2 linked regions of the Caenorhabditis elegans genome follow. The protein of the gene in region 2 interacts with the protein of the main gene of each other region in a pairwise test. Each region holds a gene or a part of one and is shown on either strand. Other genes may lie near its edges. The genes, in order: lin-12 and lag-2.

Region 1 (5,054 bases), on a different chromosome or scaffold from region 2:
TCTGCTCATCATTTCTAGGTCATTTATCCCACTTTTTCCCAAGAATTGGCAACACACACGAGGCGCCATCGGGTCGTCGCCCAATTCACCGCCCTCTTCACACATACCGAACATCAGACATAAATCGCGCCAAAAAGAAGCGCATCGACAATAGAGAAGCGCGCATGAAACAGAGAGGCTAGGAGGGGCAGATGACCTAGGAGCTATCTATCAGGCACCTTACGCGGTCACTTTTAACGCCGCCAACAAGACAAATGAGCTGAAGAGAAATGGAAAAAGATTGGCCGCGCTTCAATTTGTCCTCGATACAAACGAGTCATGATGAAATATTGAGGTGTTTGGTTGCCGTAACTTTGTTAAATATCTACTAACTACAGATTGATGAAGTTTGGAGCAATACTCATAAATGGTTTAACGGAAAACGATTAGTAAAATTTTTGAAAGTTGGGAATGGTAAGCGCATAAAGTTTAAAGCATAGTTTTCGTAAGCTTTCGAAATATGAGGAAATGCCTGCCTGGCTACCTACAAGGCAGCCTACGTCTGTTTCGCATAAATTACACATGTAGCCACAAACTTCCAATCTTCTAATGTCTTCAATTTTTGTTGAATTTTCAACATCAATCTACAGCAAACTACAGAGTTCAAGCTAACATTTAAAAAATTAGACGGTAGGCCGGCAAGTCAGCGTGAAGCAGACATTTAGACCTGTATACGCGTTGCCTATAGGCCTATTGCTATTATACCTGTGATAGCTTTAACAATGAGTAAGTAAATTCTTATTTTTTAATCTTCGAATATTTCGTTTAGTCTTAAAAATGATACAATTCCTAGTTTCTTAACTTCCATTGAATTTTCAAATCCACCTATTCACTTTCAAATTATTATTCACCCCCAACTTTGTCAGTTGTTTGCCACAATTCCACCAGGCATGTGCTTATGATGGATGGTGTGGTCAAAAAGATGACCGACAAAAGGGCGCGCGCAGCTGACCCTAGTTTTGGAATTTTGGGCCAAAAAAACATTTCATTCGCAACACCGCCACCATGGAGGGCTAAAAAAAATGAGTGATGGGTGTTTAGGTCCCTATGGGAATTGGGCAAAAAAGTGACCACTACTGGCTCATTGGTTTTGCAGGAAAATGAGATGCAATGGGAAGTGTTGTGTATAAGTTATTCAGCTCGAAATTACATTATCTTACCTTTACAGACACAGGTCTCCATCCGATAATCTTTGTCAAAAACACATTTCTCATCGGCTCCACATTTTGAAACATCACACTGTTGTTCACAATATTCACCACCAAATCCTTCATCGCATCTGAAACATTGGGAAGGGTTAGGGTTAAAGATTAAAGACGTCGTGCAGCCGAAAGGCACCGTAATCCTATTGTTTTATGGTTTTATGACAACTGATGGTAGGCTCACTCGACAGTATGTTTTGCCGACAAAACTGGGAACACGGCTGTAAAATTGTGAGGTGGCAACTGAGTCCTCATTTGTGATAAGATAAGCAATTTTGAAGACTATTCTTTTTCTCATTCAAAGTCTCAAAATGCCGAGTAAAAGTGGCATTCGTTGCAGTTTTCCGAAGTTGCCAATTGAAAGTAAAGCAATTTTCAGAAAGTGCAAACATTTTTCTATACTTCTATTTAAATTTTCGGGAAAAACTTTGACAGATAATACATCTGATAGGGAGTTCAAAACCAGCTACAGTAATCTTACAGTAACCCCCCATTGGTCATTTCTTTTGGGAACTTGGTCATAAATCCTACCCCATTCTTTTTTGTTTGATAAGAAAAATGTGGAAGACCAGTATTTTTTTGTCATTAAGAAGAATTCTCCCCTCAATTTCCCGTATTTTTCGGTTTTCCCATGGCAATAAACTACCGATTTGGGTGATTTTTTGGCGGCGGTGCGAGACCAGGAGGGGGAAAAGCTGCTTCTCTTTCGCATTTTAATGAGAATCTCAGCGGGTTAATTGCCTGGTTTTTCTTCGACTTTGAGACGAGAATTGGCAGGAAAAAAATGGCTGAGAATTGCTTTTCTGAAGTTGATTTATCCAAAACCCGACTTTTTCCAACTTTCCCATAACACCCTGAAAGTATTGTTTTTACAATATTTTCCCTCACTTTTTCCCAAAAAAATTGAAAGTTTTTTCTACAGCGAGGGACGACGCAGGTGTCTCCTCTGTGGGGTTTTTTCTCTCATTACTCGCTCATTTCTCTTGTTGCGCAAGTTTCGTAAATGGTGGGAACCCGTGCGAACAATGTCCTCCTATTAATTAACATCAACTATAAATTAATGGTGTGTTGTTCAAGTGACACGTGTCTCTACTTGAACCATATCACCTATCTTATCAGGAGCTAGCTGCTCAACGGAGAGCACATGCCGCTATAAATCAAGACGGATTACGTAATTATTGTTTGAAAAGGGCATGGATTATGGAAGAATAGTCTACTGGTACAAACAATGTTTTGTTATAATTTACAGTACTTCTTTTACTAGTATTGCACCTAGCTACTTAACTTTGTAAAGTTATAACTCGGTTAATTTCAAAGATATAAAAAGAATTGCCGTATTTCCTCTAATAGTCTTGAATAAAAGAATAATAGAGGAAATACGGTAACTACAAAACGGTAGCAAGAGAAATAACAAAAATTTGGTCAGTTGACAATTTTGTAAAGGAAATCCCATAATTCCTAGGAATATTCCTTACCCCCAATTTATTGCGTATTTTTAAGATTAGTTTTCAAAATGTGTAGATTTGTATTATTTATTTTACGTTGAATTAAAATTTGAAAAAATGTTTAAGTATTGTTAAGCAAAATCTTCACATACCTGCACCAATAAGAAGTTTGAGTTCCATTGACAGGTCCAGCATGGCAGTGACCATTTCTTCCACATATTAAGCCAAGACATGAGCCAATATGAAGCGATTTTGATAACGAGATAAGAAGAAATAAAAAACAAATCGTAGGGATCCGCATTTTTTGAAATTGAGCAAAGTCTGTTGAGCAATAGGGCGGACAGAGACAGGAAATTAGCTTTTAGATATGGATCATGTAGGTTCTGAAAATGGTTTTGAATTATTTAATTTAGTGAATTCGTTGTTTGAAAGTTGACGACAGTAAAACGGTATAGAAATGCAAAGGATCGGACCGTACTAATATTGCACCCCTGTTATTTAGTGTTGACAGCTTATATCTCAGTTGTCATTTGTTCTAAATAATAATTGTCAGCTGACAAAATATTTTTTCCATTGTGCAGAAAATCAGTTTTTGATATCATCAAAATGAGCGGAGATATTACCTTTCAAAGTAAAGTAGTGAGTTGCAATACTAAAAGAGGAATACAGTCATCGTCAACTAACAAACAAGGGCAAAATAGAAGGAAACAGGATCAATTCTTAAAACTATAATACTTGGCTCGAAACATTTTAAATATTTCGTGAGAGCTGTAGGAATATATTATTACCAATAAACGAAACCTAATAAAACCCAAACCTGGTAGCTTTTGCATTATCATTAATTAAGGATAAATAAATGCCAATCAAAAAATGGGTGGCTATTGTTATGTCTTCACCCAGTAAAAAGGACGAGAGAGGGCGAAGGGGTGGGGGTAGGATGAACACAAAAGAGAGAGAGACAGATGGCTCCGCCCAACTTGTTGCGGTCGCGGTGCGGCCACCAAGTAGACTTTTTTTTCATCGAGAAAGAAAAGGAGGAGAAGATGATTTTAAAATGAAACGACGATGTCAGATGGTTGGATGAAGTAGAAGTAGGAGGAGGTGGAAGAGAAGAGAGTGGGAACGGAAGGAAGAATGATCAAGATGAGGAAAACGAACTGCTGGGAACGTATGGTGATTTGCGGCTTTTGGGTCTTTGTGTGTCAGTTTTAGAGTTTTATTTCTGTTTATTTCTGTTTATTTCTGTTTATTCGGATACTTTATAGTTTTTAGTTTTATACATCAATACTTGCAAAAAATTTCTAAGCTTTGTTCAAAAAGTAATATCTTGGTTTTATCCATTTAGGAACAACTGTAAGATTGTATAAATGATTTTTAGCCATTTTATAGGCGGAAGAGATTTTTCATAGCTTTTCCTGTTCAAAAGCTGAAAGAGCTTGAAAATACTAAACACATCGAGTAAGAATTAGAAAAAAAAACAAATCAAAATATTGAACACGCTTTTTCCAAGGTGTTTTCTAATCTCTCTATTTGAATTACCTCCAAAACGAGAACTGCATGGCCAATCAGCAATTCGCTCTGCCCATTCTTCAACCAATCAGATTAAGTATGGAAATTCCGAAGTCGCTAATTGGTTCAAAAGTGGGCGTTTGTTTTTGGCGGGAATTCAAACAGATTTGATCATTTTTTGATTATTTTTTTAACTGTTTCACACAATTAAATATAACCTTATTCTCGACAATTAATTGCTATCTGAACCAAATTTGTTGCAAAAATTCACGCATAGTTGTTGCTACCAATTAACTACTATTTTCCCAAAACACGGAAATGATGGATGAGCCAACAGGAGCACAGGTGTCTGTTACTGTGGTGTCATATACATGTGACGTGACAATCAACCGGCAACTTTGAACTGTCGTCGACGGATTAGTCTCAAGACCTCTTGACTTGATTTATTGGCATGGGAACCCGCCAAGGAAAGGTTTCAAAAATAACAATATTGTTAATAAATGAGTGTAACATTTAAGAAAACATTTAAAAATGGCATTAACAATAGCTCTATAAAAACCTGGTTTTTTAGAAGGCCGTTATTAATTATCAGCTTTGGTGGTATTTTGTTTTAAAATAGTCAAATCTTAAAATTACCACAAAAAAGATAATAGGAAATCTTATGAAAATGAAAAAAATGTTGCTGAAGAAAATTCAAATTTCCGTTATATTGTGAATGGGGCTACCTTGTTCTCCTACTTTTATTTGCACAAGTGCATCATCATCTGTGTCCTTCTATCTCAACCATTCATGATTATTTTGTGTTTTAGTTGATTTTTTACTGATTGATCATGCATCTAAAAATAATGGGAAAATGTTT
Region 2 (4,395 bases):
TTAGCTAAAAATAGACAATTTTTTCCAAAACTTTGAGCGGCCATAACTTTTTTTTGAAAAACTTTCGGAACGTCTCATTACAAAATTTGGTTGCTTTGAGCCATTTTGAATCCGAAAAAGTCTCAAAAAGCAAAGTCTTAAATTTCGGTACTCCACCTTTAAAAAAAATAGGGTTTCCGCCGAAATTTCTGGGTTCCAATAATATCTGTTACCATTTCCTTGCTCTGCGACGAGCAGCCACCAGACAAAAATCTCCTAATACCCCTCTTCATGCCTTTGTTCTTCCGGTTTGGCGGTCTGAAAAAGAGCACCCCTCCCGGCGGGGGGCTCTCGGTATCTGTTCCGCAAAAACCGTCATATGGAGGGCTATCGGGAGACGGGAAGAGTTGGAAATACGGGAAATGGTGATGAATAGGTAGATCAATCGATTCCGGAACAAATAATTTGAGTTGAGCACGCGTGCTCCACATGTGCTCAGCCGCTTAGGTGTGAGTGAAGATCCTTGGATTTCAAGGCCATCAGCCATTTCCCCTGTCCAGCTAGAGCAGTCCTAAACGGAATTTTTTGCATTCTTTTGCTTCTTTACAATTTCAAATGTTCACTCTAACTAATTCAAAAATCTTTCTTTTTTACGAGCTCTCCTTGCTCGCCGTTGTATTCCATTCATACCTTTAAGACCACCCGAGTGTACGCATATTTAACCAGGCACCCTAAAAACATGAATAGTCTGTGGTGGAGGTAGACAGTGTGTTTTCTAAGAATGTCTCCGTAATTTGAAATATATTTTAGAGTCACCTGAAATTCATTTTTCAAGCAATATTTCTTACCATATCTTTGGGGATAATTTTAAAAGTGGAGTGAAGTCGTTTAGGGACACGCTTTTAAGTTTTAGGAAATGGTTTTTTTTTAATTCATAATTTAAAAAAATCTATAAAAATTGTTACATTTTTTATGATTTTCTCAATTTTGTTGAATGTTTGAATTTTTTTTTTGAGATGTATTGTTTGAATTGGAGCTTTTTTGTGAGTTTTTTTTTAATTTTGCAATTAAATAAAAAGTAGCTAAATTAGTTTTCGAATTCCCGCTCAAATAAATGTCCCAGAATTTACATTTTTGAGTTTTCCGGCTAAATTTTTGCCGTTTTTTGAATATGATTTGTAATATTTGGTCTGAACCATGGTTTTTCCAATTTTCAGAATCTTTCTCGCAAAAAATCTCCGTATCCCGCAAAATAATTGTTGAAGCGTCAAAAATTGGCCTAAAAGTCGATAAATTAACATTGATTTCGCTTTTTTTTTAGGAAAAAAGTCTAAAAGTATTTTTTAAACTATACAAAATCATTAAATTTTGACAAGAAAACGCTTAAATTACAATTTTTTTTATTTTTTAAAAATTTAAAAAAATTTTAAAAAAACATTAAAATTCAGATAAATTGCACAATTTTTATTGCACAAGTCGTTCGTCGTTCGTGTTTTTTTCGCTGTCAAAATGTTGGCAAAGATTGTGAAGTCCCCTGTAGTTTAACACTCTAAGTTACTCCAAAGACTTCTACCTGCCTACCTGCCTGCCTATCTATAACCTAGTGCCTATCACCTACTCGCTGCATAGTTTGATGTACCTATATAACAGTTCATAAATGAATTTTGTCAAAATTCCACTCTCAAGTATTCTTACACGTACTTATTTTGTACAAATCCTTGTCAGTCGCTGCAAGAACATACACATCGAAGAGGCGCAATCGAAACAACAGGTGTTCGCCCGTTGATCGTCTCCCCGCCCCGCCTGTTGGGCGGGACGGGTGTCGGTCACCACCACCACATCATATTGTTGGACACACTTTGCACATCCGGTTCACACCCGATTACCGCATCGGGGTCTTGATCTGGGGCGGCTATTGGATCTTTTGTTTATGTAGATTTTTTTCTCGCCGTTATGATTTTGGATTATTTTTTCTCTTATCTTGCAGTCGACTTGTAATCTTTGCCTGATTGCTAGCTAGCCAAAACTTTCACTTGTTCTTTTTTTTCCTCTAAGTATTTTCCCGAACTTATAGTCGACCTTGAGCTTTGCTAGAAGCCAACAACACTTTTCAAATTTGCCTTTTTTCAGAAAATGATCGCTTACTTCCTCTTACTCCTCACCTGCCTCCCAGTCCTCCAAGCCCGAGTAGAAGTCCATCAAGAGTTCATCTCCTCGAAGCGAGTCTCCGTCCGCTTCGAAATTGTCACAGAGTCCCACTCGCCGAATCGTCCAGTCACATTTGACCTCTTCCCCCGCGGCCCCAAAACCAACATCATCCTTCTCGACACGTTCAACCCGGTCTTCAACTTTTCCATTCAACTTGTGCAGCCGTTCACTGGTCAGCCGCTCGGTGATCGGATCTATCGAAAAGTTCAGTTTTCGGGCACCAACCAGCCGTGGATCAACGACACGTTCACGACGACATCTGGAATTTCGTTGAGCGTGGCGACCGAGGTCACATGTGCTCGCAACTATTTCGGGAATCGATGCGAAAACTTTTGTGATGCACACTTGGCGAAGGCCGCGAGGAAAAGATGCGACGCCATGGGACGTCTCCGCTGTGACATCGGATGGATGGGACCACATTGTGGACAAGGTGAGCTTTAACTTCAGTGTGTGTTTACGTGGTATCAGGCTGTCCCATCAGGGTTTGATCTACAAAAAATGCGGGAATTTTTTGGCTCAAAAAATGTGACGTCAGCGAGTTCTTAACTGGGTCTCAACTCCCGCATTTTTTTTGTAGATCTAGGTAGATCAAACCGAAATGGGACACTCTGGCACCACGTGTGTGTCTCAAAACTTCCTATAGATTTTTTCAAGTGTTTTATTTCAGCCGTTGACCCCCGCAAGTGCTCATGCGAGAACGACGGAATCTGCGTCTCGTCGATGATTCATCCAAGTCAGCCAAATCAAACATCGAGCAATGAACAGTTGATCTGCGAATGCACCAACGGCTTCACCGGCACTCGTTGCGAAATTTTCGGCTTCAATCAGTTCCAGCTGACCGCGCCCCGACCAGATGCTTGCAGTGTCAAAGACGCCTGCTTGAATGGTTAGTTGTTTTGTTAGAGTCTAGACATGAGAATTTGTTTTTTCAGGCGCCAAATGCTTCCCAAACGGTCCGAAAGTCTTCTGCTCCTGCGCTGTCGGCTTCATCGGTGAATTCTGTGAAATCTCACTCACCACCACCACCCCAACTACCGTGGAGATTACCGTCTCTACCTCGGGATACTCCAGCGCCGTCTACATCACAGTTGCTCTCTTCGTGATCTTCTCCATCATCATCGGATGCTTCAAGTACAAGTTCAAGCCGATGAGACAGCAGGCCTTGGCTCGTGGACAGGTACCAGAGCCCTACAAGATGCCTGAGACAAAGTCGATGCTGATCGATCCGGAAGCTTCAGAGGCTCAGAAGAAGGTGTTCACCATCGAGGGCAGTGTGCAGAAGATTGATGAGGAAGTGAGGTATACCAGTGCTCCAAGGAAGTATGAATCGAATAATGAGTATGCCGTTATTCAAAAGTCTACTCCACCGCCACCATCTTTAAGTCCACCGTCTATTCCAGCCTGTCACTATGTCTAGATTCTTCCTTTATCCAAAAAATGTGTGCTTCTTCCACGAGTAAAAATTTTCACCGTTTTTTTCTCAGTTTCTCTCTCTTATCTCATTTTCTTTAACTGTTTCCCTTCTGATGTTACGTGTAATTTCCGATCTCCTACATTCCGTCCCATCTCCCCACCTCCTCCAGCATCCCGCGTTCGTTTTTCATTTCATTGTATTCTGAAATGTTTGTTGTAATTTATACTTTTATACTTTTTGTTTTCTGTTTTCTGAAAAAAAATTGCTGATCCAAATCTTGAAAATCTGGTCCACACCTGTCTGACAGGTGCAGTGTGAAAAGCGCAACCAAAATGATACGAAAAAATTTTCCATCAAAAAATTGGCAAAAAGAATTCAAGTTTTGCAGGTGGCAGATTTGTGGTTGGAACGGATCACATCTGTCAATTTTTTTTTTTAATCATTTAGAAAAAAATATATTGTAGAAAAAAGGTTCAAGTATTTGAACTTATTATCCTTCTCCCCTTCTATCCCGCCGCCAAATTGTCAAACACTTTCTAATCCTGTTTGCACAGGTGAGGTAGGTTTTTGGCTTTTTGTATCCAGAATTATATACACACATATACATATAAGGAAAATTTTAGTATAGACGTGTTTTTTGAGCAAAAATTGAGCAGTAGTGCTTAAGATCTGGATTGTAAAAAAAATTAGCATAATATAACTAATCTCTAATACGTTAGGTAAGTACTTGAAATGTAGAAAGTGGATGGGAACCACATTAAGACACAGTAGTATTACGGGAACATTAAACTCTA

The links.
Region 1: the proteins of lag-2 (region 2) and lin-12 interact in a two-hybrid assay, tested with the Caenorhabditis elegans proteins (one study listed by BioGRID).

What each region holds. Positions count from the first base shown.
Region 1 is NC_003281.10:9,068,402-9,073,455, forward strand, and holds the start of lin-12 (lin-12/Notch intracellular domain), read right to left. Parts: upstream 3,072-5,054; 5' UTR 2,988-3,071; coding exon 2,839-2,987; intron 1,319-2,838; coding exon 1,200-1,318; intron 1-1,199. UniProt on the Caenorhabditis elegans protein: Essential signaling protein which has a major role in many developmental processes; involved in cell fate decisions that require cell-cell interactions. Probable membrane-bound receptor for putative ligands lag-2, apx-1, dsl-1 and osm-11.
Region 2 is NC_003283.11:3,186,238-3,190,632, forward strand, and holds lag-2 (Protein lag-2), read left to right. Parts: upstream 1-2,105; 5' UTR 2,106-2,112; coding exon 2,113-2,617; intron 2,618-2,854; coding exon 2,855-3,073; intron 3,074-3,119; coding exon 3,120-3,604; 3' UTR 3,605-3,878; downstream 3,879-4,395. UniProt on the Caenorhabditis elegans protein: Probable ligand for lin-12/Notch and glp-1/Notch receptors and involved in the mediation of Notch signaling.